Linked DNA regions of Drosophila melanogaster. The protein of the gene in region 1 purifies or fractionates together with the protein of each later gene. This does not show direct contact. Each region holds a gene or a part of one and is shown on either strand. Other genes may lie near its edges.

Region 1 (16,712 bases):
TTGGCCAACTCCTTGGGCAGAGGATCGGCCTGCTCCTTTACTTGTATTCCGCCAATTTCAATCGATTGAGGTACTGTCGGTCTGATGGGTCCTTCGCTGGCGGAATGGTAATTATAGAACAACAAGGAAACTCGTCGCTTCATCTCATGATAGTTTGGAAACTCCAATTCATTAGCAAAAGCTCGCCTGTAAAGAATTCATAAATCAATTGCTGTTTCTAGCTCTGTTTTTTGTTGTATACTTACTCGTAAAACTGGTTCATCTTATAGTCCAATACTGTCTCAAAAACGCACATGATGGCATATTTAAAAAAGTTCACAAATCTTAGGCCAAAGTCCATGGTCTTTTGACCCGCATTAAGGGCTACATTTACGGTCGGGACATACGATGGATCGTTGACATTACCCACAATGGTGTCCATGAAGGGCAGCGGAATGCCCACCCACGATATAATGACCGGACATTTCAACTTGGCAGCAATGCCCAACTGATAGGTGTTGGCCATCAATCCCAAAAACACCAAATCGAATTTGATCTTTGGATTCTCGTAGATCTCTTTGACATTGGGATGCGTCATAAACTCATATTGTCCTTCCAGTTGATTGGAAGATTGGACGATCGCCTTGACCATGGTCTCCCAGAACGAAGGTTTCTCATTAGATACCTCAGCCATATATTCTTTGATATATCTCTGTCTCTCCTCCGTCGGCGGTGCAATGATCACGGTAATATTTTCATGTGTCGCCAATTTCGGTTTCATCTGGGTCACCACTGTAATGTTGTGACCTCGATCAGCAAGGGCTTTCATCACAGCCATATGCACGATCACGTGCGAAGGACTGTGTGTTCCGAAAACTCCCAATATATTGGCTCCACCACTGCTTTGGGTCATCGTGCTCAGAAGGAATGCAATCAAAAATCCGATTTTAGTATATTCAATCATTTTGAATTAACCTTTCAATTGAACTGAGTGTAAACGACTAAGATAATATATTTCTAGCGTTCTAGCTTATATAGCAAACGCAATATCAATAGGGAACATATTAAAATACCTTTCGCTGTGCGGTAGTGACTTGGCATATAGGGGAAGTCTGCCTAGAGTTTGTTCAAACACACTGGTCAATTGCTATAAGATTATCGCTATCGCAAAGGTTTTTTTTGTCAAACAGCGTATCTGCAGCCCGGAGTCACGATTAAATGGTAAAAAGAATTAAGCATAAATTTATTGTCTAATCAGTAAACAAAATTGCTAAATACATTATGAATATGAAGACTTTATGTAATAGTTTTGCATAGTTTAATGACATTTGATTTTTTAATATTTTTGGACTACTGAACCTTATCTTGAGCTCCTGCTGAGCCTTCAATCTTAAAGCAATCACGCACCCACTTTTTGCCAATTTTTAAATTAATTTTCAAATTTCTCATCCGCCCTCCGACTCGTCGATTAACGTTATAAATAAATCAAAAACAAAACATATTTCATTTTTAATTGTTCATATAAATATTTTAATATTTCAGTTTTTTTCTGATTTCTTAAATATATGAGCTAAACTATTAATGGCTTTTCAAAGTTGTCCCAAACAACAAGTAACTAGGCCAATAAGTAATCTTTTGGCGCTATCGATAACTCAATGCATGCGTCATACAGTAGCATGAGAAATTTCGTAATCAGGAATGCGAGTTATGAAATACAATTTGGTAATATTTATTTCTTAATTTAACTTAATTTATTGTTTCTTTTTGGTCTGAGAAATCTTCGCCTTTCCCCCAAATTTGTTCCATACGATTTTCGCAACCAGTCGGGTAAGGAGCACAAATAAGACCAGAATCGTCACAATTAATGCGTAAATATCAAGATTGTTAAGCTGAATGAAATTCATGTGCACCGACGGACTCTGTAAGTTGGGTGCTCCTTGATGTCTCAGGATGTATTCAGTCCAGAAAACCACCGACTGCTTGGCGGTCATGGGTCGATCTCTGTACAGGGTAGAGAATTGGCCAATAGCTTGTTTGTACTTTTGATTTTCCAGAACCTCTTTCAGGGCATCCCTTAGACTGTCCTCCGTTATGGACAGCAAATCCAGAGCCAGGCCATATCCAGATTTCTCCATCAGTGCCGCGTTTCCGGGCTGATCTCCGAATATCGGCAGTGCCACCATTGGCACTCCGTGGTATTGTGCCTCCGTAATGCCGCCCTTTCCAGCGTGTGTGATAAAGAGTTTGGTATTCGGATGGGCCAGTATATCGTCTTGGGGCAGCCAGTTCTTATAAAGAATATTGGAGGAGTTACCGGGTGTGTTCTCCAAATCCTCCCATTTCCAGATTACGTTCTCCTTCAGTTCGGACAGGACCTTAAAGATGATCTGTACGATTTCTGGCCTTACAGTGGAACTCTTGACATTGGAGCCGAGTGACAGGAAGACAGCACCTTGCTTGGCATTGCTTATGAACTGATCGATATCCTTGGGCAGAGGATCCGGCTTATCCTTTACTTGTATTCCTCCGATTTCGATTAGCGCTGGCACCAGGGGTCGAATAGGTCCTTCACTGATTAAGTGGGAGCCGACAAAGGCCATGGAGATATTCTTCCTCAACTCCTTCAGTGTGGGCATATCTTGTTCCGGAAAGACGTCATTATAAATGCGTGTCAATTTGTAATCAAACACAACAAAAATGAATTCGAAGAGCAGGGATTTGAGAGCGTTTTCAGTTCGTTTGAGGAAGCCCATTGGTTGCGTGGCCACAGTTCCCATGAGGGGCACATAGGATAACTCCGAGGGATTACCCGTATACTTATCGATTGCCGGAACAGGTGCCGACATCCAATTAATAATTACCGGCACCTTTAGCTTATGGGCGACACCCAGTTGAAAGTCGTTGATGAAGTAACCCAAAATCATCAAATCAAATTTGGTCTCGTAAATGCGCTGAAACCGAGGGTCGGATAGGAGTTCCGCCTGGGCATTGATCATAACATCCATGCTGGTTAGAAGGCGATACATAGTGCTGACCAGTGAGTTCTTTTGCCCGGCCATTTCGGTCATTTGGTCTTCCATGATGCGTTCTTGCTCCTCCTTCATAGGCACCACAATCAGGTGGATGTCCTTGTGCGTCACCTTGGGCTTCAGCATGGACACCACGGTCACATTGTGTCCAGCTTTGACCAGTGCCTTGGCCACCGACATGTGGATTATCAGATGCGACGGACTGTGACTGCTGAAGAGCCCCAAAATGTTAGCTCCCTGGGTGGAGGCAACCACGCCGAGAAGCAACAAAAACACGAAGTGAACTCCGATCATTTGATTAGTTTTTGGTATGACCTGTCCGGCCACTGTCGAAATAGAAACTAAAGAGAAATGGGCAAGCGGAAACCTATTTATGGGTGAAAAAACTGGTGCCAGTCATTGGATTTGCTTATCAACTCCCCTCGATTCCGAAAAATACCTTGATGAGAGACGGTAACATTTCATTCTCTTGATACTCTTATTTACCTGCTCTTTGATATACAACTCCGCTCTTTTCTAACTTTTTTTCTAACGCGTTTCAAACGTTCAAAATAAAAATTAAATAAATTTTATCAGAGAAATATATAAAGGTTATTAAAAAATAAAATGAAAGTAATAAAAAAATTTATTTAATTTACATAAACGCAACTTTATTGTATTCCTTTTAAAACAGTTTTCTTTAAAGGTCAATCCATATCCTGATTACTCCGTGGCAGCAGTTTTATAATTAATTTAATTATAAAATCTATTTTCGTTTTTCAATTGCTTTGTCAAGATGAGTCAGCAAAAACCCACTATCAAAATATATTTCGTGTAGTTCACCAATTTTCGTAACACCCACCAAACTCTCACCTCTTAAAATATTAATGTAGTTTTAAGTGATCTGCTTAAGCACCTCATAAGCCGAACTATAAAATATAATTGTAATTATGCGTAACAAACGACTTAAAAAAGCGACAATGATTATAGTGCTCTTAACAAACCTTTGCAAACAAAAAGAGAATCGAAGAAAGCTCTTTTGTTAAGAGCACGTTTTGTTTAGACAGGTAAACAAAATGCTTTATAAAAGAAAACCAATGTCTGTTAAGTCACATTGTATTTAATATATACATTTTTGCATAATTTACCCAATATTATTCTTTATTATAACCTTTTTCCAGAATAACCATTACCCTCCCCAATTATCACTACAATTCCAAAACCCACCTACATCAACTTTTTACTACCCGGCGGAATTGGATTCTTCTCTGTTCTTAGCAATTGCTGATTCTGTCCCTTTATGTGACTCCAGTGATTGATCTCCCGCAGTTCCACGTCGAACTCTTTCATGGTTTTCCTTAACTCAGGATACAGATGCTTTAGCACTCCATGATCCAGTGTGGGAAATAGGTGATGCAAAGCATGCTCACCAAAGTGTGTGAGCACCAGAAGATCCGACCACTTGATGTCTCCGCGATCTATAATCGTGTCCACCTGGTAAAGACCCCAATCGAAGTCCTGTCGCTGGGCATCTCCATCGTGTAGAATACGTGGATCATGGTGGGCAGCAGTGAGACCAACAAGTCCGAAGATAAAGCTCCCAACCGATATAATTATTTCCCAGCTTAAAAGTGCACTCAACAGGCTAACACCAGTGGATAAATATATAAAAATGGGCAGACTGAAGCCAATGAGATCATCCCAGCACAGAACGTTTCTTTTGGTCAGGGAAAGGACCAGGCTAAAATATAATGCAACCTATTAGTACAATACAGAGAAAACTATTTTGGCCACTCACCGTATGAGAAACTGCCCTTGGAACAAGACCACATATACCACGGGGCTGATAACCACTGAGATCAATCGTTGAGGTTTACTGGCATAATGACTATCCGGAATCCAGCATAGGAACGGCTCAAACATGGACATCTCCAGGTCGTGCAGAGAATTAGCATAAACATGGTGTGATAGGGCGTGAGAAATTCGCCAGTTTCGGAAGTTCATCATGGTCAGATTGAAAGTGTACATCCGCCAACTGTCCCGTTGATGAAAATAATTGTGGGTTGAGGTTGCCACCCAGCAAAGTGCCAATCCAGCTAGACCCTTGAAGATCAATGAGTCCAGAACGGTGCCTGCCCAACTGAAGAGGAAGACGGACACCAAGATGCCAAGATGGAGAAACTGCAAGATTATATTGTAGAACAATAAGTATATCATAGGGAACAAGCATATTACGTTCGACGGAACTTTAGTAACTTGTCAAGATCGCAACAATACCTCGGTTTTCTTAGTGGGAGAGTAATCGATCTTTCTCAGCTTTTCACGCACTCTCCGCTTCAGTGTCATATAGAAACCATTCTCTTCAAGAGTGAACTTGTAGTTCCTTGGCCTTGCAGCCTTTCGCACCTCGAATTTGCTTAGCATTCCTCGAGCTCGCTCCTCGATATGATGTGACTCGAAGGGCTCGGTGATATCCGTTCCCCTGGTGCACTCAATCCAAGATGAACCACCCGGATGGCGAGCGGCAAAGTCGCTTAAGTCGTAGAGCGTATCGTTAATTCGCCAAAGACCTTCGGCCTCGTCATCTACATTTTTCCCCTCCAGCCAGCTGAGCAAGAGAAAATGTAAATATGTAGTTTTATTTAATTAATTTGAAATTTATGGGTATATTCGATGCAAACCTTTCACTGGTAATCGGTCGATGCTGGCGATAGCTCGGGTAATTTCTGGATATTCCGGATACTCTCCAGTCACCATCGTCCTTAACATTGGGCGTCATTTTGTGCACTGTTTGTTAATCGATGTACACTGATAAATGGAGTTTATTTTAACCCCAGAAGTACCTTGAACGCTAGTGCTTAATCGTTGCTGATAACTAGCCGTTTGATTCCCAAGTTCATCTTAGTGCCTAACGAAAGAACCGGTCGTTCTGGACACCCCAGATGCAGACTAACCGCAAAGTTTGTTTACGTAGCGCCAACTGAACTTTTATTGGAGCGGCGCTCGGCTTTTGTTTTCGTATCGCACTCGCTCGATCAATTAGTAAAGCTCTGAGAGTATCGCCGATTGAAAGCTTTCCTCTCAGTGGCTCTCACTTCTTATCAGGAAAAAGTAACAGTATGTAAATGAGATTCAAAGCATACTTACATTGAAGGGCGCCAGCATTGCGATCTAGAGTAGTGTGTGCATTGCATTATTTTCCCATAAGTCAGAACTTTGTTTAAAAGAAAAGTATAAGTATAAATACTTACACTTATATTACTTACTTATACTTATACTTATATCCTTAGCTTCATATTAAGTAAGTTGTACAAGGATTACCTATGCTTACCAAGCAAAAGAAAAGTGAACTCAACGTGTAGCCATGCTAATAAACCCTAGTAAATCGCTGAATTTATTCCTATCAAATTATTTTATTTTATTGGAGCTCTTAGAGATAAGACTACCCCCAACAATCTCAAAAGCTGATTGCTTTCGGCTAGACCCACGCCAGCCAAGCGAAGCCTCAAACTGCCGCGATACCATAACATTGTTATGGCCACCGCACTGACCTATTGTCGCCGAAGTCTGCTCGAACCGCCCATGTGGTGCTTAGACATGCCCACTGCTTGAGATTTCACCAAATGAATTAGCGATTAGAACATACTGCTAAAAATATGTGAGAATTAAATAGACGTAATAGTTAAAAGGCGGCAGCTGCGCTGCTCTCCTGATAACACCGGCGCCTTATCAAAATGGAAACGTTTTGTTTGGAAATCTCGATTTTCGGTTTATATAATCAAAAGAGATTTGCGCTACACATAAAATAAACGGACCACTGCCGGTGCCTTTCAGTTAGTCGTTGGAATCCCAGCGGAAAGGTGCTCGGATCGGTAAAGTTTGTGCCACAGACGTCAAGGATCAAAAGGACTCGGCAATATGGTAATCGAGGAGTGGAAAAAGAGTGGCATTGCCACCAAGTTTCCAACATACCGAAATTCGGCCCTAATCACCACACACAGCTGGCAAAAGGGTAAACGGCAGGACGATGGAGCCGAAGGACTGTGGCGCATCAACGATGGCATCTATGACTTCACCTCGTTCATTGACAAGCATCCTGGCGGTCCCTTCTGGATTCGTGAGACCAAGGGCACCGACATCACCGAAGCCTTTGAGGCACATCATCTGACCACGGCTCCCGAAAAGATGATCGCCAAATACAAGGTGAGGGATGCGGCTGAACCCAGAATCTACACACTGACCTTGGAGGAGGGCGGATTCTACAAGACGCTAAAGGAGCGAGTCCGCGAGCAACTAAAGACCATAGACAAGCGGCCGAAAAAGAAGAGTGATGTGAGTGTTAATCTGCAAAAAAAAATACCTTATTGAAAATGGGCGTGCCTTAGATTTCATTTCATATCAGTTAAGTAATTCTTATCAGTTACTTATTGATAGGAAGTTGAACCTGCCGGCTCATAAATAAATTTATTACTAACTAAAAACATCTAATCTTACATTTCACGTGTCGCAGCCCTAATATTATGCCCCCACTTGTATTCGGCGGCCTGTGTGATTATATTATTTAATTATTTGCACGCTGAAACCCTAATTAATATGATAACTTTAAAATTTATCATTATATTTATAATATATTAATATACATTTCTTTTAGCTCATTCACCTGGGTCTCGTTGTGTCGCTCTACCTGTTGGGCATTGCCAGTGCCAAATACAACAGCCTTTTGGCTTTGGTCTTGGCGAGTGTGGCCCTCTGCTGGACGGTGATCGTGTCCCACAACTACTTTCATCGTCGGGACAACTGGCAGATGTACGCCTTTAATCTGGGCATGATGAACTTTGCCGCCTGGCGTGTGTCCCATGCTCTGTCCCACCACATCTATCCGAATTCGTATTTCGATCTGGAACTCTCGATGTTCGAACCCTTGCTGTGCTGGGTGCCCAATCCGCACATCAAGAGCAAGTTGATGCGTTATGTGTCCTGGGTCACGGAGCCGGTGGCCTATGCCCTCGCCTTCTTCATACAAATGGGCACTCGGTGAGTGTGTGATCGAGGCGGTGATCGTAAACAAAGTCTAATCAGTGATCTTTTGATTGATTGATATTGCAGTATTTTCTATTCGCTGCGCCACACCAACATCCTCTACTGGCACGACCTACTGCCACTGACTATACCCATTGCCATATACCTGGGAACCGGGGGATCTTTAGGCATTTGGATCTGCGTGCGCCAGTGGCTCGCGATGACGTCGATAGCCAGCTTTAGCTTCTGCTTGATTGGTCTGAATGCGGCGCATCACGATCCGGAAATCTATCACGAGGGTGATGCCAATCGTGAGGATCGTGACTGGGGTCTCTTCCAGGTGGACACGATTATCGACCGCGGTGATCTCAAGTGGTCGCAGTTCCTGGTGCTCACCCACTTTGGTGACCATGTGCTCCACCATCTCTTCCCGACCCTGGATCATGGCCTCCTGCCCGCCCTCTATCCGGTGCTTTACCAGACTCTCGATGAGTTCAAGGGTCATCTCCGCGAGTGCAACCACATCGAGCACATGATTGGCCAGCACAAGCAACTATTGCGCATCGAGCCCAATCCCAGGGCTCCTGGGGCGGGAAAGTAGGACTTAATTTGTATGGGGCTTAAGTAAAAGTAAATAAATATATCCACAACATCTTATTAGTTTACAAAAGACCTGTGACAATTTCTTAACACGTATGGCCAGTAAATATGAATGAATATGTCCCAGTCGAATGATTTGATCACGGAAAATAATACACATTTGTTAAATTGATTTACATTTATTTTGTTCCTTTTTTGTATACTTTTCATTTAGTGTCAAGTGATGATCTTATCTCCCTATCATTGTTAGATAGAGTCAGAGTTAAACATAAACATAAGCGCAGTGTGTAGCTCGTGTCGTCCGTAAGTCTTGTCTGGTCTGCATGACAAACAATATTGGGAGTACATATAGAGCAAAATATTCGAACTGCGGGCGACATTTACCGGCGGACACCTCCGCGGGGCCTTCATTTTGACGGGGCTCACGTTTCGCGATTATTCTCATGTTGTTCGGTTGAGAGTCGATGGTTCTTTCATAGTTAGTTGGTTGAATGCATTTCGAAAGTTGTATAAAAATATATAAATACAAATACAAATACAGGTCCAGCGAGCAGTGTCCCCATGGCAAATGTCGCGCTTACACAATAGCCTGTTACTGATCACTTATGTATTATGTATGCTAATCGATGGTGATCGATTGTTGTTATATGATTTTATTTTTTTGCCTAAGTGCATCTGGCGTTGTTGGTGGTTTGCCTCCCGTCGTTTTCGATATTTATTTTGTTATAGTTTTATTATTTTGTTTTTAAATTAAGAAATTAAATTAAAATCATAAACATAATCATTATGAAATATCATTTAAAATAAATTAAAAAATGAAATGGCATTTAGAATTCGTTTTCAGGAGCAAGGTCGAATCTTGGTGGGAAGGCCAATCCGTCGAATTGTGGCCTAACGGACGTCGCACGGGGCTGCGGAAGAGAGATAAATCGGTTGATTAAAATTAGTTCAAGAATAATTAGTATATTTAAACATGCCGGGGATGGGACAAGTCGCCATGTTGGATCGACTGCACGGGATAGAACGATAACGAGTACGACTAGCACTCCCTGAACACGTTTTGTAGTGCCAGCGAGTGGCGCGGTGAAAGAACGGTAACTGAGGTACGTAAATGCTCTTCGAGCGAGAGATAGAGTGTCTTGCTTGTGTCGAATGAGAGTGGAGCGAGAACGCTTGACGAGTACGACAGCGAGACGATACGGATACTATGAGCAACGACAACGAACGAGTGAGCGAGACAACTAGATGAGCTGCGGTTGATTGACTGACTGGTGTGCGTGTGCGGGAGTGGGAGGGATGAGTTCCGACACAACAAGAACGGGTCAAGACGTGCACGAACACGTCCACTTACAAATGTTTCAAGAAAGTTTCTACTGCTCCAGCAGCGCGCTCTTGCGGCCCTTTGACGCTGTCGGCTGCAGTACACATGTACAAATACAGTTTATAATAATATAGTGGAAGAATAGTATTGTTTTTTCTCTTTTTTGTAAATAGTGGTAAAGAAAGCATTTCGATTGATTTAGCCTGGTGCTGCGTTGGTTGCTTGCTTTTTTATTTGCAATATTTTTTTGGCTTTTTGTCTGGTTTTCTGTCAAAATGAACGCATTCTTGGTTGGTATTCGATGAATTGATCCATTGATTTTTGATTGGGGTGGCCTCTAATTTATACATTTTTGTCTGCTAGCGAATGTCATGTGATGCATCTATATTATTGTTATTAGTATTTATTTTATAATAATTCTTATAAGCTATAATTCTCTTTGCATGGTTTTTGTTCTCTCATTATCGTAAATGAACCATAATTGGATCGCTATATAGATTTTTTATTCGATGGTGATGCCTCAGGCTTAGATCTGTTTTCGTAAGTGGAAGCAGAGCATACGCGAGCAATATGAAAGGGAAGAATATACACATTATTCAATAACTGATCCAGAAATAACGTGAATGGAGATGGCGCTGATGCAGCAAAATGAAGGCTCAGAAGTGTTCGATTGAGAGAAGTTCAAATGGGCTTTCATATTTACTTTTTTCTCTGAGTGGGTAAGGTCATTGTGGGGTCTTAAGGGCTAAAGGGTAGTGATGATGAAGGCATTTGATGCCATTGTTCAATAACTTACCGCTGGGCTGGCACCACGACCGACAGAACCGGCACGTCCCTTGGCGCGGAATTTGCTGATGGCCTGCTCGGCCAGATCGGCGCGCTCCTCGGCCTCCTCAAGCTCCTGCTGAGCCTTGCGGAATTTGGCCAAGTTGAGGGCGGCGATTTCCTCAGCCTCCTCGATCTGCCTCTTGTATGTCTTGATCTTCTGTTGCAGCTTGTCGACCAGATCCTGCATGCGCTCGTGGTTCTTGCGGTCCTCCTCGGACTGGAAGCTCAGCTCCTTGACGCGACGCTCGGACTTGCGCAGGTTCTTCTGGGCATCGGCGTGCCTCCTCTGCTCACCATCCAGCTCGTTCTCGAGCTCGCGGACGCGCTGCTCAAGCTTCTGAATGGCCTTCTTGCCTCCCTTGAGGGCGTTGGCCTCAGCCTCGTCCAGACGGACCTGCAGCTCCTTGATCTGCTGCTCGAGGGCCTTCCTCAATTTCTCCTGGGTCTGGGCATGATCCTGCTCAGCGCGGAGCTCATCGGCCAGGCGGGCGGCATCGACCATAGCCTTCTTGGCCTTCTCCTCGGAGTTCTTGGCTTCGTTCAGGAGTTCGTCCAGGTCGGAGTGCAGGGTCTGCAGCTCGGACTCCAGCTTCCTCTTGGCAGCGGAGATGGAGGCGTTCTGGGCGGACACTTCGTTCAGCTGCTCGTGGGCATCGGCCAGCTCCTGTTCGGCCTGGCGACGGCCACGGTCGGCCTGTTCCAGCAGAGTGCGAGACTCCTCCAGTTCGTTCTGGAGGGCGTTTGCACGACGCTCGGAGATACCCAGCTGTTCGCGGGCATCGTCGCGGGCGCGCTGCTCCTCCTCGAGGGCAGTCTGGATGTCCTTCAGCTGCTGCTGGTAACGCTTGATGTTCTTCTGGGCCTCGGCGTTAGCCTAAAGGAAAGGATAAGAATTAGGGTTAGTCGTTTCGGTGTGCCTAGGCATCAGTGGTTGAACCTACCTTGTTGGCGTGATCCAGAGCAATCTCAAGCTCGTTGATGTCAGCCTCCAGCTTCTTCTTCATGCGCAGGGCCTCAGCCTTGCCCTTGGCCTCGGCTTCGAGGGAAGCCTGCATGGAGTCGAGGGCACGCTGGTGGTTCTTGCGGGTGTTCTCGAACTCCTCCTCCTTCTCCTGGATGCGGCGGTCGATCTCCTGGCGCACCTGGGACAGCTCAAGCTGAGCGCGGAGCACCTTGTTCTCCTCCTGCTCAAGAGCGGCCTCAGCCTCCTCGAGGGCAGCCTGGAGCTCGTCCTTCTCGGCTTCCAGGCGCTTGCGGGCCTTCTCGATCTCATGGATGTTGCGGCCACCCTCACCGATCTGGTCGAGCAGATCCTTGACCTCATCGGCCAGGTTCTTGTTCTCACGACGCACAGCCTCCAACTGCTCCTGGCCCTCCTCGTAGGCGCCCTTAAGACGGAACAGCTCGGTGGAGTAGTTGCGGCACTCCTTCTGGGAGGCATCCAGCTCAGCAGCCAGATCGTCGACCTTGAGCTTCCACTCGCCGATGATCTTGTCGAAGGCCTTCTGCTTCTTCTCGGCAGCGTTGGCAATGGCGTTGGCACGGTCGACCTCCAGCTGCAGATCCTCCACCTCGGTGGACAGACGCTGCTTGGTCTTCTCCAGGCCAATGCACTTCTGGTTGAGGGACTCGATGGTCTCCTCGGCCTCGGCCAAACGGGCCTGCAGCTTCCTCTTGGCTTCCTCCAGCTCCTCAGAGCGGGCAACGCCATCGGACTCGTACTTGCTGCGCCACACCTGGGCCTCAGCGTTGGCCTTGCTCAGCTGGCGCTGCAGATCGGCCTTGCCCTCAGCCTCCTCCTCAACCTGCTCGCGCAGATTGTCCAGGTCGTGCTCCAAGTTGCGGAACTTGCCCAAAAGGGTGGCACGCTCGCGCGACTCCTCGTCGGCCAGACGCTTGGTGTCCTCCAACTGGGTGGTCAGAGAGATCTTGATCTTGGACAGCTGAGACACCTGGGACTCGGCCTCCTCCAGCTGGCGGAGCAGATCGGAGTTCTCAATGGACAGCTTCTTCTTGCTGGCATCGAAGTCGTTCAGAGTCCTGTTGGTCTCGTCCAGTTTCGACTGCACCTCGTTGAGGGTGTGCTGCAGCTGCTTGGCGATCTTCTCCTGGGCAGCCTATTAGTGATTTAAGCAATGGATGTTCATTAGTTTCACGATGGGGATTGGGAACATTCATAATTGATTGTAAGTGTGGCATTTTGGTTTCGTGTCAAGTGGCTGTACAAGGCATTTGGGGTTTAGTAGATCAAGCTTGGATATTACTTTAGTGGTGGTGGGTCGTTTTAGTTTTTACATAATCAAATTTTCTTTTGGAGTTTCGGTGTGGTTGCGTTGCAACTACGTTGATACTATACACAGATGTAGTAGACGTGGCTAAACTAGAACTTTCAGCATATAAATTTACAGCATCGCGATGAGAGCAATAATATGTGTAGAGATCAAATTCAATACCTTCTCGTTGGTAATGTGGTCGACACCGGCGCGCAGATCGTTCAACTGGCCGTAGTACTCGTTCTTCTCCTTCTCAGCCCTGGTTTAGACAGATAGATAGAGACACAGAGGTTCGTATTTCACGGGTTAGTTCATGTTTTGTGGGGGATAAAGACAGAGACAGAGACAAATACAGAGGCGAGAAGCGAGAGAATTGCTTTCCTTGCGTTGAACCTTTTTTCCAAATAACCTTCAATTTCATTAGACAGAGAGAGAGAGAGATAGAGGGACACACAGACGTAGTTCGTTTGTACGTAGTTGTGTGGTAGCATTTTTTTTTTATTTGTTGGTTGGAACATGCTGTGTTCAGTGTATGGATCTGTATATGTATGAATCGCTGGACGTCCCTGCTCGGGCGCCAGTTATCACGACATATTACCTTATCGCGACCCAGCTGATCGCAGGCGGTACGAGTCTGATTCAGCTCGTTGTGGCAAGTCTGGCGATCGTGTTCAGCCCTGGATTAGCAAATGGGTAAAAAAGAGCAAAATATCTATTATGTTGGGTTCGGCAACCAAAGCTCTTCGAAAGAAGACTGTAAACTGTAGATCCTTCAAGATCTCTCTATCTCGATAGCGTTGGCACCTGAAAAAGCTAGCCAGAAGTCTAATAATATTCGCAATACTTACTTAGCCTTCAGCTTGTTGAGCTGATCAACCTGCTCGGCCATCTCGGCGACGGCATCGTTGTGCTTCTTGCGCAGGTTAGCCAGGGTGGACTCGTGCTGGATGTTGGCCTCCTCAAGATCGCGACGCAGTTTGCTCAACTCAGCCTCACGCTTCTTGTTGAGCTCAATCTGGGCAGAGGTGGCACCGCCAGCCTCCTCCAGACGCTCGCCCAATTCCTCGAGTTCGCGGGCCAGATCGGCGCGCTGCTTCTCAGCCTTGGCGCGGGCCTGGCGCTCAGCCTCGACCTCTTCCTCGAGCTCCTCGATGCGGGCCTGCAGTTCCTTGATCTGGCGCTGGTGCTTCAGAACAACGACCTGCTCGTCCTCGAGCTTGGCGGTGATGGAGGACAGCTCCTTGTCCTTGCGCTGGATGGTCTGCTCGAGCTCCTTCTTGTTGCGCTCCAGATCGGCAACAGCCTCCTGGGTGAGCTTGAGGTCGCCCTCAACCTTGCGCTTGGACTTCTCAACATCGCCGCGCACCTTCTTCTCGCGCTCCAGCGAATCCTCCAGTTCATCGAGGGTCTGCTCGAGCTTGGCCTTAACCTTGTTCAAGTGGTTGATCTTGTCCTCGGCGGCCTGGAGCTCCTCACCGGTCTTCTGGTTGGTCTCTCCCTGCATCTTCTTCTCCTTGTTCAACTTGTTGATGAGCTCATCCTGGTGGGCGATCTCGTCGTTCAAGTTGCGGATCTGGTGATCCTTGGTGGCCTTGTCCTGCTCGGCCTTCTGGACGTTCAATTCCAGATCCTCGATGTCCTTCTTCAGGCCAGAGATCTCCTGATCGGCCTTCTTCTTCTGCTGGAACAGCTGGTTGCGGGCATCCTCCTCCTGAGTCAGGCGCTCTTGGATATCCTATTGGAATTGAACAAAATTGTGTGGGCGTGTTAAGTGGCTGAGTAAGTTGGCGATGGGTCACTCCTAAATTTAGCCAAGTGCGCCAGAGCCCAGAAATAGCCGAGCAACTTTCATGCTCGATTGCCTCTGATCAATTTCGCGTTTTCCGCTTTCGTGGCACTTGGATTTATGCCATCGCATAAATGGGATTTAGTGTATGGGATTAATGGGATACTTACGCGCAGCTGGTTCTCGAGGTCGTTCTTCTGGGCGGTCAACTTGGCGTTGCGCTCCTGGTAGTCCTGCAGGGCACCCTTCTCGCCGGACAGGGAGTCCAGCAGAGCGGTCTTCTCAGCCAAAAGCTTGGCGTTGAGGGCCTCGAGCTCCTTGCGCACCTTCACTTCAGCGGCATGCAGTTCCTCAGCCTTCTTGGCCTTCTCCTCCAGACGCTGTAAGTCATTAGAGGCATTTGATGGGTTAGAAGGGTTGTTGCCGGAGCCGATCTCGTCAGCTGGTTGGGGATTTGGTGGTGGTTCGACGGCGGTCGATTCGGGCTGAGGAGCAGCTTCTGCAGTCTCTGCTGGTGGAGCAGCTTCGGCTGGAGCTGCTTCCTCAGTGGCACTGGGTGTGGTCGATTCGGTGGACTTTTTCGTTTTCTTGGCTTTCTTTTCATCGGCCATATTGATGATAAATCACTTTCAATAACTCCTAATTAAATGTGAAACTCTCTCGGAAAAGGGGCTTTTCACAATTGTCAACTACAATACAATTTCAATTTGAATTCGTTATCTTGATGCCAGTCAAGATGCTCTGTGGCCCAATGTGGCTCTTTTGCTCAGATCGATTGGTTCTTCGTTAGGGGTTCGATTTTTTGTGGTACGCGTTACCGCGACGGCGACTGGTCAAATACAACTGGAATGGCTGCTGCAAATGCACTGGGCCACTTTGGCTATAAAATTAGCAAAAACGCCCCGATGCGAGCAGAACGGCACCAGAGCAGAGCAGAGCAGAGCAGCGAAATGGCAGCTGCTGCCACTTGGCATGTGTGTAATCGCCTTGGTTAGGAGGTAGCCATCATAATTCACGAATTGCTGGCATTGCTATAATGCTATATTGCGTCGGTATGGGGCCTATCAAGTCGCACTTGTGCGGCGGGACCAGCAGGTGTACCATCTTAGGTATATATAGATCGGTTAGAAATATCGTGCGTATGGATGTACATATGCATGGTAAATTACTCATCGGGGATCGGAACTATACGTGGGCATCCTCGGGCATTTTTTATTATTTAATTAGCAAGCTAATTGGCAAACTAATTGTGGCTCTTTAAAAAATCCCCAGCTATATGGCAGTGCCAAGAATAGATCCCAAGACTATAAGTCATAACTTTCGAAAAATATTCATACCTAAATACATATGTACATTGTACGTATGGGGGGGAGGGTTTGGGTGTATGAAAATGTGAGAGGTGAAGAGTTGTTGGATTCCAGCGAAATGATTCGCCTGGGGCACACACATAGAGGCCACATTTGGCCCGAAAGTGCGAAAAGATTATGACAGCGTCTATTTTTGGCTAGCCCAGCGATTGGAATCAGATCGTATCGATATGTTTGGGCAGCTGGTAGTGGGTGGGTGGTGGTTCTCCCTCTCATTCGCCCCTGCTGCAGGTGCTTAAGATGTGTGCTTAATTAAGCGCAAGAATTTCGCATCGAAACAATGTTTATGACCATTGGCTAAAATAAGATTGAGTTGGGGATTTGATTGCTGCTTGCAGCTGCCCCAGCTCATCCAATTACCCCAGACAGTGACCAAATGGAATGGACACACCAGGGCTATGGCTACATCAACGTGTTGCGGTCACCAAATGATTGCCACCAGCAACTGTACTGTCCAAGTTCATCCGCATCGAATCACCAAAGACCACTAAGTCCCCAGACCCAGGCTGGTCTCGTTCTCATTCGTTCTGG
Region 2 (14,920 bases), on another chromosome or scaffold:
CACTTCTGAATTTGGCTCTCTGCACCTGGAGTTCTACTATCTCAGTGAAGTCTCTGGATATCCGGTGTACAGGGAGCGAGTGGATGCTATCCGCGAGATATTAGCTAAAACAACCAGGCCCAATGGCCTTTATCCCAATGCCTATTGCACAAAATTTGGTAAGTGGGAAAATTACAACTGCTCCATGCACCGACTTTATGATACCCTGCTAAAGTCATGGATTCAGTCCGGGAGAACTGATACTCAAAATGCTGATACCTTCAAAGAAGCCATGCTAGCTGTGGCTCAAAATCTGGTTGTCATCAATCCCGAGGACGTGACCTACGTGTCCACGTTCAGGAATGGCACTCTTTTCCATCGTATGAGGCACTCCGATTGCTTTGCCGGCGGGCTTTTTGTCCTGGGAGCAGCAGAAACCCAAATGAAGCACTGGGAAAAGTATGCCCATATTGGCATAGGCCTCACAGATACTTGTCACGACAGCTACTGGAGTTCTCCCACTCGGTTGGGTCCGGATACGTTTGCCTTCACGGAGGAAAGCCAGCAGGAAATAGAGCCGCTCCAGAGGAACTATTACAATTTACGGCCGGAAGTCGCGGAAACTTACTTGGTTCTGTGGCGCATAACCCATCATCCACAGTACCGCTTGTGGGGATTGGAGATGGTGCAGGCGATAGAGAAGTACTGCCGAATGCCCTACGGATATACTGGAGTGATGGACGTTAACAACGTTACTTCGGAACCGGATGACGTGCAGGGGTCCTTCTTCTTGGGCTCCACTCTGAAGTATTTGTATCTGCTCTTCTCCGACGACGACGTGGTTTCGCTGGAGCAGTGGGTCTTCAACAGTGCAGGCCATTTCCTGCCCATTAAGGGCGTGAACCCAATGTATCGTCAGCATAACTCATCGAACTAAACATTAGCCAATTACCAAAATAGTTAGCATCTATTTAAAGTTTAACTTTTAATGCAGACATGTATAAAAAACTTGTGTGATCTAATACTTTCACAATGAATTACAAAACCTAATTTCTAATTAGCTGGGAGCACACACATTGAGCACACCTAAAAGCACATACACACATAAATGTCAAATGTCGAACATTGGCCCGCTAAACCATCGCTGGCATCCGCCCTAGAGCTCTAGAGCTGGCTGTTGGCCAGGTGGTTGTCGATGACCCGCTGGATGATCATCAAGCAGTGGCGCTGCCTGGCCACCGTGTTGTCGATCAGCTGTTCCGTGAACTGACTGGCCGCAATGTTCGTGTTGGGCGGTATATCCTGCGTGCAGGATATGTACCTGTTGAAGATCTCCGTGTTCAGCGACGTGGCCAGATACCGCTCGCTCTCGTCCTGCTGCTGCAGCTTGTCCAGCTCCTGGGCGGCCAGCAACAGCTGATCCTTGGCCTTCTGATATGATTGCAGCTCCTGCAGGCTGGCATACTCGGCGCTGCTCAGTTTCACGGACCTGCCGCCGTCTTTCGTCATCTGGCGAATGTGGTACTTGCGCTCGGCCACAAAATTACCGAGCAAGTATCCTGCGAAACCACGACACACAAGAGTGACTCATTAGGCGCTGTCCTGTGAATGCACTCACCTGTTATCAGCATGAAGAAGCCAATCGTTAGCACCAGGGAGGCACAGGTGCGCTTGGAAACGTACTCGCGGAACTCCCGAGAGCTGTTGGCCCGCACCGCCGTCTCGTAGCTGAGTACCTGGTGCATCCTGATGACCTGGTCCCCTTGGGGATTATAATCTGTGGGGCCTGCTTGGCCTAGTCACGTCGAGACACTCGGATGTGTCCTTCAGAACTGGGTGGGAACATGGTGCTATCGGTGGTATCTAGTGCCTAAAGCATGGAATTTGTAATTAAACATTAGAAACTGTATCTGTGAGTTACAGCTGTAAGTTTCTTAATTACTTCGATATGTTCAAGGATTTAAGAGCGCGGAACTTGGAATGATATAACACCTCTTGGTATGTCATGTCAGGATTTAATGTTCTCCTTTCACATTTTTAGTTTGAGCACTAAAACCGCAGTGTCAATGCCCCGAGTTCCTGTTCTGGCGATGCCGCTGATACGGAGGAGCGTGACTTAATCGCCCCACCTTAAAAGGCAATCGCGAAGCCCGTTGTTATGGGCATCGCACACGGCAAACAGCGCGGTCCTTTAAACGCTTCGTCGAACACTTTTCACTCACTCGCTTTATAGGATATCGTCGGCTTGGCTCGACTCTTGTGCTGCCAGGATGGGGTACATATGCATTAAATTAATTAATGACTGCACTTTTGTGTTGCACTGCCCGAAGGAAGTGGGCTACAAGTGTGGGAATGTCCTTTGCGAAGGGAGCGCGCTCAACTTTTAATTGTATTATTTATGCTTTATTTACTCGTCGCGTTCGCTCGGATCCTTGCGCGTTATCCTTGCGAGCGGTCTGAATGCCCGGACGCCCAGTCGGGAACTGACTCACGCTTCGTTGGGGGTCGGCTTTAATAGCTCTCCGTTCTCCGTTTTCCGTTCCGTGTGGTGAGTTTCCTGCCCCGATATGTTGCACATTTCAGCGTGGCACTACGTCGGCGGAAGGACGGTCAAGGGGAAGCTCGGAGAATGCAAACAAAGGCATTCCCAGTAGCTTCCTAATGAGGAATGGGTCCGCCATTTCGCCCACTCCGCCCGAGGCGTTCCTCAGAAACTATATCGGATTTCAAGCCATCGCCTCACTTTGAGTGATACTGCTGCTCCGTAGTTCCGAAAGTGGACCTCCCTTTTGATTGCCATAATCGTATTTTCTTTTCTGCTTCACTATTCCCTGCAATACTTCAAGGATATCACATGACCCTCGATTGCCATTTCTGTTCCTTGGGGTTCTTTGAAGTCCCCCCCATGACACCTTGCTTGCACATTTTCACTTGTTGTGCTGTGACATATATTACTGGGAATTTATGCATAAACTCAACCATTGCATACAATTTGAATATATATTTTGAGGTACGATTATAAACTTTTGCTTTTCTGAACTTGAAGTACATAATCCCATAACGCACTCTATTACTAAGTTAATCCATTGGGTGGCATAAATTAAAATAATTTATTGCACGATAAGCTTGTACACTTCTATATGTGCATCGATAGTGACTTCATTGGTCTATATAAAAGTGTGAGACCAACAGGAGATTTTAGTATACAAAATGAAGGCTTGCGTACCCATATTGGCAGCCCTTTTTGGATCAGGGAGCAGACTGGCATTTACTATTAACCATGGTTAATAATTCTTTATGATTTAATAAAATTAAATGAATTAAATTGCTTGAACTTGTATCCACTCAGAATTGATTGAAGCACTCAAAACACTCTTATTCCCTTTGCTAACACTTCATTCATACTGCCAAACACTCGTCTTGAGTATCTGCTAGTATAAATCAAACTTTTTCGTTGATAAAAGTGCTGCGAGATAAGATTTCGCACTTTGAATTAGCATCGATAGTGATTATGGCTAAGCTATATAGTATTGGGACCACCATGGGAGCCTTTTAGTCTTTCAATATGAGGGGTCTTACACTCTTGTCGCTCGCCTTCCTTGGGGTCTGTAGTGCCCTAACTGTGCCCCATTCGCTGGTCCATCCACGCGATCTGGAGATTCGTCATGGAGGGATTGAGGGTCGTATTACCAACGGAAACCTGGCGTCCGAGGGTCAGGTTCCCTACATCGTGGGTGTGAGCTTGAACAGCAACGGAAACTGGTGGTGGTGCGGCGGATCCATAATCGGACACACTTGGGTGCTCACTGCTGCCCACTGTACCGCTGGGTGAGTTATTTGATTTCACAAATAATTAACGCTCTTTGATAAATCATCGTATTGCAGTGCTGATGAGGCTTCACTGTACTATGGTGCCGTCAACTACAACGAACCTGCCTTCCGCCACACAGTGAGCAGCGAGAACTTCATCAGATATCCCCACTACGTTGGACTCGATCATGATTTGGCCCTGATCAAGACTCCCCATGTGGACTTCTACAGCCTGGTCAACAAAATAGAGCTTCCCAGCCTGGATGACCGATACAACTCTTACGAAAACAATTGGGTTCAGGCCGCCGGATGGGGTGCCATTTACGATGGCAGCAATGTGGTGGAGGATCTGCGAGTGGTGGATCTGAAAGTGATCTCCGTGGCGGAGTGCCAGGCTTACTACGGAACTGATACCGCCTCCGAGAACACCATCTGTGTGGAAACTCCGGACGGAAAGGCCACCTGCCAGGGTGATTCTGGTGGTCCTCTGGTCACAAAGGAGGGTGATAAGCTTATCGGAATCACTTCCTTCGTCTCCGCTTACGGATGCCAGGTTGGAGGACCGGCTGGCTTCACTAGGGTCACCAAGTACCTGGAATGGATAAAGGAGGAGACTGGAATCTATTATTAAAAAAAAACTTTACTAATTTCAAAGCAAAAAGGTGCTTAAACAAGTTTTAAATAAATGAAGAACATATGCTGTTATATTTTGTGTATTATTAATTTCTTGGAAGATAGTGGCATATTCATGTTTAGAGATAAAATTACCAATAATACATAATCAATACATTACATATTACATAATACATACCATTTAATACATTACCTATGTAATATTAACCTATTAGTGTTTTATTTTTTGATAATCTAAAAATCAACTTGTTGAGAACAAAAACTGTACAATGTGCCGTATGAGTAATATTTTATCACACTTTTTTTTGAAATTGGTAGTAAATACTTTCAATAAACATTATTCAGAATTTAAATTTCTTAAAGATCATAAAATACTTTACTCCTCATTTGGGTAATCTGAGTATATAATATATTTTAGGTGAAGTGAATGTCCTTACATGATACTATCATACTGAAGAGTAAGTTGCAAATAAGGCACATGTCATTCCACTTCAAATTTAGGCCATAATTTACAAAAAAAAAAAATCACCTGTAGTGGACTTATCAGTCGACGATGGCTCGCGATGATAACTTGATTAAAATTTACTGCCCTCCCATTTTACATACGTGTGGAAGGAAGGGCTCTTGGTCGAGATAAGACTACGGACCACTTCTGTATATAAAGGCGCTTCGACATCGGAACACCATTGAGTTGCAAGACTTGACCAAGATGAAACTGTTCGTATTCCTGGCCTTGGCCGTGGCCGCAGCTACTGCTGTGCCCGCTCCCGCCCAGAAGCTGACCCCGACGCCCATCAAGGACATTCAGGGTCGCATCACCAACGGCTACCCAGCCTACGAGGGCAAGGTGCCCTACATCGTGGGTCTGCTCTTCAGCGGCAACGGAAACTGGTGGTGCGGTGGCTCGATCATCGGCAACACCTGGGTCCTGACCGCCGCCCACTGCACCAACGGAGCCAGTGGAGTGACCATCAACTACGGAGCCAGCATCCGCACCCAGCCCCAGTACACCCACTGGGTGGGCAGTGGCGACATCATCCAGCACCACCACTACAACAGCGGCAACCTGCACAACGACATCTCCCTGATCCGTACCCCGCACGTCGACTTCTGGAGCCTGGTCAACAAGGTTGAGCTGCCCAGCTACAACGACCGCTACCAGGACTACGCCGGATGGTGGGCCGTGGCCTCCGGATGGGGCGGCACCTACGATGGCAGCCCACTGCCCGACTGGCTCCAGTCCGTCGATGTCCAGATCATTTCCCAAAGTGATTGCAGCCGCACCTGGTCTCTCCACGACAACATGATCTGCATCAACACTGACGGAGGCAAGTCCACCTGCGGAGGCGACTCTGGTGGCCCCCTGGTTACACACGACGGCAACCGCCTGGTCGGAGTGACCTCCTTCGGATCCGCCGCTGGCTGCCAGTCTGGTGCTCCCGCCGTCTTCAGCCGCGTCACCGGATACCTGGACTGGATCCGCGACAACACCGGCATCTCCTACTAAGCAGTTGATGTTCAATAAACGATTATAGCAAAAATGAAAAATTCGACCAAACTATTTATTCAGTTGTAGATTGAGGGGCACATTATTGAGAGCTAAATATTTATATATTCTATTATGTACATTAAATGTACATATATTATAAAACTAAAAGTAATCTCATATTTTCCTTAAATGTTTTTAAAACGAGATTGTTTAACTTATTTTTATATCCTATTTTTATATTCTATCCATATGATAGCTGTTGAACGCTAGTAGCGACTATAGGGTATTCCTATATTTAAAACTGTTTAAGCTAGGAAAGTCCACTTGCAGCTATTTATAATAACATAAATTTATATTATGTTTATGCACTTTAATTATGTTGCAAATATAACAAGTCCAATATTCTACATACACCATTTTCAATCCAGTTTGCTTTTTATATACATAATATACATAATAATTATAAACAATACATAATAATAATACATAATAATAAGACGTATGATCCATATATATATATTTGCATATAGTCCGATGGTTCGTCATTATGTGTTCCTAAAGCTTGATTTTTTCCGATACATAAATCGGAAATCGGAATAAGTTTATTTCCGTTTGCAGTTTAATATATTTCCCTTCACTTGGAAATATTTTATTGATTTCATTACTTAAGCAAGAAGACATCTGAATCCCATCCCAAAAACAGAACTTGAGTTGCTTGCTATAATCGTTTATTGAAGAAACCCCTCAGAATTAAGGAACATCAACTGCTTAGTAGGAGATGCCGGTGTTGTCGCGGATCCAGTCCAGGTATCCGGTGACGCGGCTGAAGACGGCGGGAGCACCAGACTGGCAGCCAGCGGCGGATCCGAAGGAAGTCACTCCGACCAGGCGGTTGCCGTCGTGTGTAACCAGGGGGCCACCAGAGTCGCCTCCGCAGGTGGACTTGCCTCCGTCAGTGTTGATGCAGATCATGTTGTCGTGGAGAGACCAGGTGCGGCTGCAATCACTTTGGGAAATGATCTGGACATCGACGGACTGGAGCCAGTCGGGCAGTGGGCTGCCATCGTAGGTGCCGCCCCATCCGGAGGCCACGGCCCACCATCCGGCGTAGTCCTGGTAGCGGTCGTTGTAGCTGGGCAGCTCAACCTTGTTGACCAGGCTCCAGAAGTCGACGTGCGGGGTACGGATCAGGGAGATGTCGTTGTGCAGGTTGCCGCTGTTGTAGTGGTGGTGCTGGATGATGTCGCCACTGCCCACCCAGTGGGTGTACTGGGGCTGGGTGCGGATGCTGGCTCCGTAGTTGATGGTCACTCCACTGGCTCCGTTGGTGCAGTGAGCGGCGGTCAGGACCCAGGTGTTGCCGATGATCGAGCCACCGCACCACCAGTTTCCGTTGCCGCTGAAGAGCAGACCCACGATGTAAGGCACCTTGCCCTCGTAGGCTGGGTAGCCGTTGGTGATGCGACCCTGAATGTCCTTGATGGGCGTCGGGGTCAGCTTCTGGGCGGGAGCGGGCACAGCAGTAGCTGCGGCCACGGCCAAGGCCAGGAATACGAACAGTTTCATCTTGGTCAAGTCTTGCAACTCAATGGTGTTCCGATGTCGAAGCGCCTTTATATACAGAAGAAGTCCCTTGTCTTATCTTGACCAAGTGTCAAACTACCCATATGTTGAGCTGGAGGGCAGTAAATTAATGTCATCCAGATTACATAGGAGCAAAAAGACAAAAAATAAACAACGCAGAGGCTTGTACAGCAATATAAAAAACGTAAACTTATCAGTGTTCAATGATTTGCGAATCAGTTAAAAATACAATAAATTTAATGTTAAATACTACTCATCGGATGCAATTCATAAAATCATTTTCTACGTGGGTACATTCAATTTGTTTAAACACATAAGTATCTTATCGGTGCCATAAAGCAAATCAGCATTGATACTATAGATTTTTACGATCATGTTGAGGGCTTAGAGATATAATTTTAATACAGATGGCCATAAAATGAATTTTATCCCGCAATCTTGACGGTTTCCGGTGGGGAGACAGTGAAAGTGCAACCTGCTACGCAAACCCAGGGAAAATGAGCTCTTTCGCTTTTCTCGTGGAGAACTGAGCACATAACTCACAAGGGTCCTTAAAAGCTAAATAAGGCAGGAGTTTTGTTGGAGGCCAATGAATCATTGAGTGCAACCCAGTTGTACACTGCAGAAAATCATGTATAAACCCAACATAGCATTTAGTTAATGGGAACTTATAAGAAGAATGTGCATTTAGCCACATTTGTGTAATGAGGAGTACCTTTATATAATTACGAGAATGCCATCCAGGTATTTTCAGCTATGGCCTCTAATTAATTCGCACTTAATGAGTTCCCCTCGACAGCTGTGACTTTAATTTTGAAATTCCTTGGGCCACCATCACTTCCTTCCTCTTCTCTTGGAAGCCATGCGAGTGGAGTGTGGAGTGCATTGGCCCCGCTAAAAACCCCGTACGACTTGAACACGTACGATGCCATTCCGCCCGGAGCTCCATTGAACCCCACCTTTCGAACACACACATTCATCTCAAAGGGCTGCTCCGTGAAAGTGGGCTTGTTCCTTTTCCTTTTCTCCGCCTTTAGCCAGGAGCTGGCATTTAGTTCCAAGTGCATTGACACACAAAAGCCCTGCGAGCGCCCTGAAGTAAGCAACATTCAACATTCAAGGCTCAAGACGCTCGGCTGCCAAGGACGAGTTGGGTCTTAGATGTACACCACCCCACCTCCCCCTCCCACTTCCCATGCAGATTAATCAATATTCATCAATCACAAAGTCAGAATCACTGACCCAGTGCCCAAAAGGCATTCGAAATCATTTCAATTCGGTAGATACTCGACTGTAAACTGCAGGTGTGGTGTGTTTTCCGGCTCTGTTGGTTAGCCAAAAGCTTAAAAGCTTGCATTTTCTCCTATTTTTAAGGGCTTTTCTCGGTGAATAGTTCTAGGATATGAACCCAAGTCCATGAATCCCTATTTACTCGCAAATTAACACCCTCATGCTACTTTTTGAATATTAAGTAGCTTTGAATTTCGGCTTGAATAGGTGTCAAAAAGTATGCAAAGTGCGTATTTTTTTTTTGGGCATTGATCTATATTGCTGGGTACAAAATATTAGACACCTATTTAATTTCATATCTCAACTGTATGCATCATTTCATCGAAATATAAGCAGATAATATTGTTCCATTTAGCACGTTTTGTTTTTCACTTACATATAAACCCACTGGGCAGTATTGATTTGGATTTTCAGGCATAAAAGTGGTGCGATTCCGTTGCTGGGGCTTCGAAAATCGAAAGTCGCTCATCACGTGCAATGCAACCACAAATGGACGAAAGATTCCTGAACTGAAATCGCTAAAATCGGTTGCTGCCTCCAAATGCAGCCCCACAATTACCGAAGTGCGGTCAAATGGGCCCATTGACTCGGGGTTCGCCCACACATTGACCGAGTTTTAGCCACATTGGGCACTAATGTAATTAGTGGAATATAGCGACCCGTGGCTGCCACTTTTCAGCAGTGCAACGCGGCTAATTGGAGGCGGAACATCGCCACGATGGAACACTAAAGGATACAGTGCGCGAAAGGATTACGCCAAGGCTCCCCGAGGAGCAGGGATAAATGCCCATAGTGTTTGTGAGATGTGAAGTGACCGAGTGATCCGATCCTGATAATCGCGTTCGCATAGACCAGTAAATCAGTGCAGATATGGGCAGCAATACGGAATCCGATGCCGAGAAGGCGTTGGGGTCTCGCCTGGATTACGACCTGATGATGGCCGAGGAGTACATCCTCAGCGATGTGGAGAAGAATTTCATATTGTCCTGCGAGCGGGGTGACTTGCCAGGTGTCAAGAAGTGAGGCTTCCTCCCTATGGCTTCGAGTAACTCGGCTAATATGATTTCGTCCTTGAAGGATCCTCGAGGAGTACCAGGGCACGGACAAGTTCAACATTAACTGCACGGATCCCATGAACCGCTCCGCCCTCATTTCGGCCATCGAGAACGAGAACTTCGACCTGATGGTGATCCTGCTGGAGCATAACATCGAGGTGGGCGACGCCCTGTTGCACGCCATCTCGGAGGAGTATGTGGAGGCGGTGGAGGAGCTGCTGCAGTGGGAGGAGACCAACCACAAGGAGGGCCAGCCATACGTAGGTCACATCCTGCCGCAGAATATGCCACAACTCTTACTCTTTTCCCCTCCTTTGGCAGAGCTGGGAGGCGGTGGACCGCTCCAAGTCCACCTTCACCGTGGACATCACGCCCCTTATCCTGGCCGCCCACCGAAATAACTACGAGATACTCAAAATCCTCCTGGATCGCGGGGCCACGCTGCCCATGCCGCACGACGTCAAGTGAGTGGGGTGGTGTAGGGATGCAGTTGCTCGGTGATATGGCTATGTAGTGAGCTTCCTCGTCCTTCGAGCGGCACGTTCCATTGTTTGTCCAATTGGCAACACACTTATGTAGCACATCGCTGGGTGCCTCTAATTTTAGATAATTGCGGGCAAATTAGGGTGAAATATTAATACAGGGTGTAATGTTGTGTGTGGGAAGAGCAGGTCCTTGAATGTTCTTAAATTGGGTCAATGGACTCAAGCCTTTAACAGCGTCATAAATGTCCTTGCTAGGAGAGAAGGTCCTTTGTACTCCTTTCAGATTGATTTAAATGTATTTATTATTATAGAACTCTTGGGTTCCGTACACTTTGTATATCATCGCTTAATCTCAATTGTTTCTAGGTGCGGCTGCGATGAGTGTGTGACCTCCCAGATGACGGACTCCCTGCGCCACTCGCAGTCGAGGATCAACGCATACCGCGCCCTGTCCGCCAGCTCGCTGATAGCGCTCAGCTCCCGGGACCCTGTACTGACCGCCTTCCAATTGTCCTGGGAACTCAAGCGCCTGCAGGCGATGGAATCGGAGTTTCGTGCCGAATACACGGTACGGTAGTAGTGTGCAATGTAAGCGGTGGCCAGTGTGCCACTAGAGTCTATGCGAATGCGAATGCGAGCCTTTGTTTGTGTTTGCCCAACAGGAGATGCGTCAGATGGTGCAGGACTTCGGGACCTCGCTCCTGGATCACGCACGCACATCCATGGAACTCGAGGTGATGCTCAACTTCAACCACGAGCCGTCCCACGACATCTGGTGCCTTGGCCAGCGGCAAACCCTGGAACGACTGAAGCTGGCCATTCGCTATAAGCAAAAAACGGTGGGTTCGGACTAATCCGTGCACATTAAGGAACTGTGAAGGTTACAAGCTTGTGGCTAGATACCCATGCCTAATCCACCACAGACCAACTGGGATTTAATAGCTTTATATATAGAAACGGATCTTAGTACCCTGCTTGAATTTATAAACATTACTCCCCCTTCTAGTTTGTGGCACATCCAAATGTCCAACAATTGTTGGCCGCCATTTGGTACGACGGACTGCCGGGCTTCCGGCGCAAGCAGGCCTCCCAGCAGCTGATGGATGTCGTGAAGCTGGGATGCAGCTTCCCCATCTACAGCTTGAAGTACATCCTGGCCCCGGATTCCGAGGGTGCCAAGTTCATGCGCAAGCCCTTTGTCAAGTTCATCACGCACTCCTGCTCCTACATGTTCTTCCTGAGTGGGTAAAGTGGGTGCTTAACACTTCATCCATCTAAATATGCGCCCATTCACAGTGCTCCTGGGTGCTGCCTCCCTGAGGGTGGTGCAAATCACCTTTGAACTCCTCGCATTTCCCTGGATGCTGACCATGCTGGAGGATTGGCGCAAACACGAGAGAGGTTCACTACCGGGTCCCATTGAACTGGCAATCATTACCTACATAATGGCTCTAATATTTGAGGAACTGAAATCTTTATATTCGGACGGCTTGTTTGAGTACATCATGGATCTTTGGAACATAGTGGACTACATATCGAACATGTTCTATGTGACGTGGATTCTTTGTAGGGCCACCGCTTGGGTAATCGTCCATGTGAGTCCATATGAATCTAATGAATAAATTGGAGTTACTGAAACGAATTGATTTCAGCGTGATCTCTGGTTCCGGGGCATAGATCCTTACTTCCCAAGGGAACACTGGCATCCGTTTGATCCAATGCTTCTATCAGAGGGCGCCTTTGCTGCCGGAATGGTCTTCTCCTATCTAAAGCTCGTCCACATCTTCTCCATTAATCCCCACCTGGGACCCTTGCAAGTTTCACTGGGTCGCATGATAATCGACATCATCAAGTTCTTCTTCATCTACACACTGGTGTTGTTTGCCTTCGGATGTGGTCTCAACCAGTTGCTATGGTACTACGCTGAGCTGGAGAAGAACAAGTGCTATCACCTGCATCCCGATGTGGCTGACTTTGATGACCAGGAGAAGGCTTGTACCATCTGGCGAAGATTTTCCAAGTATATTACATTCATTTCTATGTACTTTATCATATTGGCATCCCATTTCAATTTACTTTAGCTTATTCGAAACATCACAATCGCTCTTTTGGGCCTCTTTTGGCCTGGTGGACCTGGTCTCCTTCGATCTGGCGGGAATCAAGAGCTTCACCCGCTTCTGGGCACTGCTAATGTTCGGCTCCTATTCGGTTATCAACATCATTGTGCTTCTCAACATGCTGATTGCCATGATGTCCAACTCCTACCAAATCATCTCGGAGCGAGCCGACACTGAGTGGAAGTTCGCCCGATCCCAGCTGTGGATGAGCTACTTCGAGGATGGCGGCACCATTCCACCGCCCTTCAACCTCTGTCCCAACATGAAGATGTTGAGGAAGACCCTGGGCCGAAAGCGACCGTCACGAACCAAGAGCTTCATGGTAAGTTACACTCAGAGAAATTCAATATTTCAGTTTAAGTATTATACAAATCCACACATATATATTAAATTCAGTGTACTCTACTTTTAAATGATATTTCTTATCATATTACTTTTAAATGTAAGTAACATTTCGAAAGTTCGATTTTTTCAAGTTGAATCACCTCACAGTGAGAGGCGGCTCACAATCAATACAAATCTTAAGCGAAATCATTTTCAATCAAGCCCATGCAGAGCTATCTGTGCGTCAAATTGACGTCTAATACATCCTTTCTGTGTCCTTCCACCCTCTAATGCTCCCTGTTCCAACTCCCAGCGAAAGTCCATGGAACGGGCACAGACGCTGCATGACAAAGTGATGAAGCTGCTGGTCAGGAGGTACATTACGGCGGAGCAGAGGCGGCGGGACGATTACGGCATTACCGAGGATGATATCATTGAGGTGCGCCAGGACATCAGCTCCTTGCGGTTCGAGTTGCTGGAGATTTTCACCAACAATAACTGGGATGTACCCGACATTGAGAAGAAGTCGCAGGGTAAGGGAAGCCTACCCACATCCAAATTGGCAACTTACACGTGTCTTAAGATAGAAGTAGCAGTATATATGAATAATTATTTACAATTAGCTTTTGAATACCTAATAAAGTTCACCCCATCTTGAATATTAATTTGAAATATGTTGTGCTAGAAGACTACAAAGCTAGAATGGATTTTAATGGATTTTATTCACTAAACTTACTTTTGAAGGAGTTGCTCGAACCACCAAGGGCAAGGTGATGGAACGTCGCATCCTTAAGGACTTCCAAATCGGCTTCGTCGAGAATCTGAAGCAGGAAATGAGCGAATCTGAGAGCGGACGAGATATATTCTCATCGCTGGCCAAGGTCATCGGCAGAAAGAAGACCCAGAAGGGGTAGGTCCACTTAAATCTGTAAGACGCTTTGAATAATGGTTATTATTCTCAACAGAGACAAGGATTGGAACGCCATTGCGAGGAAGAATACTTTCGCCTCCGATCCCATTGGCTCCAAGCGCTCCTCCATGCAACGTCATAGCCAGCGAAGCTTGAGGAGGAAGATCATCGAGCAGGCGAATGAGGGTCTTCAGATGAACCAGACCCAGTTGATTGGTAAATTAATAAAGATGTGCCCAATGTATGTATATTTCCATACCCTTGATCTCCTCCAGAATTCAATCCCAACTTGGGTGATGTGACGCGTGCCACAAGAGTGGCTTATGTCAAGTTCATGCGGAAGAAGATGGCTGCCGACGAGGTTTCCTTGGCCGATGACGAGGGTGCTCCAAATGGCGAAGGCGAAAAGAAGCCACTGGATGCCTCTGGGGTACGTTCCAATCAATATATGTATATGTATTCCCTGGCTAATATATAATCTCACTTGCAGTCTAAAAAGTCCATAACTAGTGGTGGAACTGGAGGAGGAGCTTCTATGTTGGCTGCAGCTGCTCTAAGAGCATCGGTTAAGAATGTGGATGAAAAATCCGGAGCCGATGGCAAGCCCGGCACGATGGGCAAGCCAACGGATGACAAGAAAGCAGGTGATGATAAGGATAAGCAGCAGCCTCCCAAGGACTCCAAGCCGTCAGCAGGTGGTCCCAAGCCCGGGGATCAGAAGCCAACTCCGGGTGCGGGAGCTCCAAAGCCCCAAGCAGCTGGCACTATCAGCAAGCCCGGTGAGTCACAAAAGAAGGACGCTCCGGCACCACCAACCAAACCTGGAGACACCAAGCCTGCTGCGCCGAAGCCTGGAGAATCCGCCAAGCCCGAGGCCGCTGCCAAAAAGGAGGAGTCTTCCAAGACCGAAGCTAGCAAGCCGGCAGCCACAAATGGAGCAGCCAAGAGCGCAGCTCCCTCCGCTCCTTCGGATGCCAAGCCGGATTCCAAACTGAAACCTGGAGCAGCTGGAGCACCAGAAGCAACTAAGGCAACCAATGGGGCCTCCAAGCCGGACGAAAAGAAGAGCGGTCCGGAGGAGCCAAAAAAGGCTGCAGGAGACTCCAAGCCAGGAGACGATGCCAAGGACAAGGATAAGAAACCCGGCGACGATAAGGACAAGAAACCTGGCGACGACAAAGACAAGAAACCTGCTGACAATAATGATAAGAAGCCAGCCGATGACAAGGACAAGAAGCCGGGAG

What was found.
Region 2: the proteins of Cyt-b5-r (region 1) and CG15522 purify together in Drosophila melanogaster (affinity purification with mass spectrometry, with the first as the bait; one large-scale study listed by BioGRID). This does not show direct contact.

The regions. Positions count from the first base shown.
Region 1 is NT_033779.5:16,780,826-16,797,537, reverse strand, and holds Cyt-b5-r (cytochrome b5-related), read left to right. Parts: upstream 1-6,816; 5' UTR 6,817-6,905; coding exon 6,906-7,319; intron 7,320-7,638; coding exon 7,639-8,021; intron 8,022-8,093; coding exon 8,094-8,607; 3' UTR 8,608-8,764; downstream 8,765-16,712. Other genes in the region: Ugt37E1 (UDP-glycosyltransferase family 37 member E1), read right to left, coding at 1-186, 246-943; Ugt37C2 (UDP-glycosyltransferase family 37 member C2), read right to left, coding at 1,731-3,302; CG17928 (uncharacterized protein), read right to left, coding at 4,215-4,728, 4,786-5,168, 5,265-5,595, 5,669-5,766; Mhc (myosin heavy chain), read right to left, coding at 9,434-9,517, 10,724-11,629, 11,697-12,872, 13,209-13,287, 13,877-14,763, 14,985-15,194. UniProt on the Drosophila melanogaster protein: May play a role in muscle cell metabolism.
Region 2 is NT_033777.3:29,914,799-29,929,718, reverse strand, and holds CG15522 (uncharacterized protein), read right to left. Parts: upstream 2,465-14,920; 5' UTR 2,202-2,464; exon of another isoform or gene 1,922-2,201; intron 1,850-1,921; 5' UTR 1,725-1,849; coding exon 1,598-1,724; intron 1,539-1,597; coding exon 1,144-1,538; 3' UTR 953-1,143; downstream 1-952. Other genes in the region: alpha-Man-Ic (alpha-Mannosidase class I c), read left to right, coding at 1-916; Jon99Ci (jonah 99Ci), read left to right, coding at 3,545-3,807, 3,865-4,420; Jon99Cii (jonah 99Cii), read left to right, coding at 5,132-5,929; Jon99Ciii (jonah 99Ciii), read right to left, coding at 6,680-7,477; trp (transient receptor potential), read left to right, coding at 9,656-9,804, 9,863-10,100, 10,162-10,304, 10,692-10,893, 10,988-11,164, 11,332-11,566, 11,622-11,920, 11,978-12,345 and 6 more.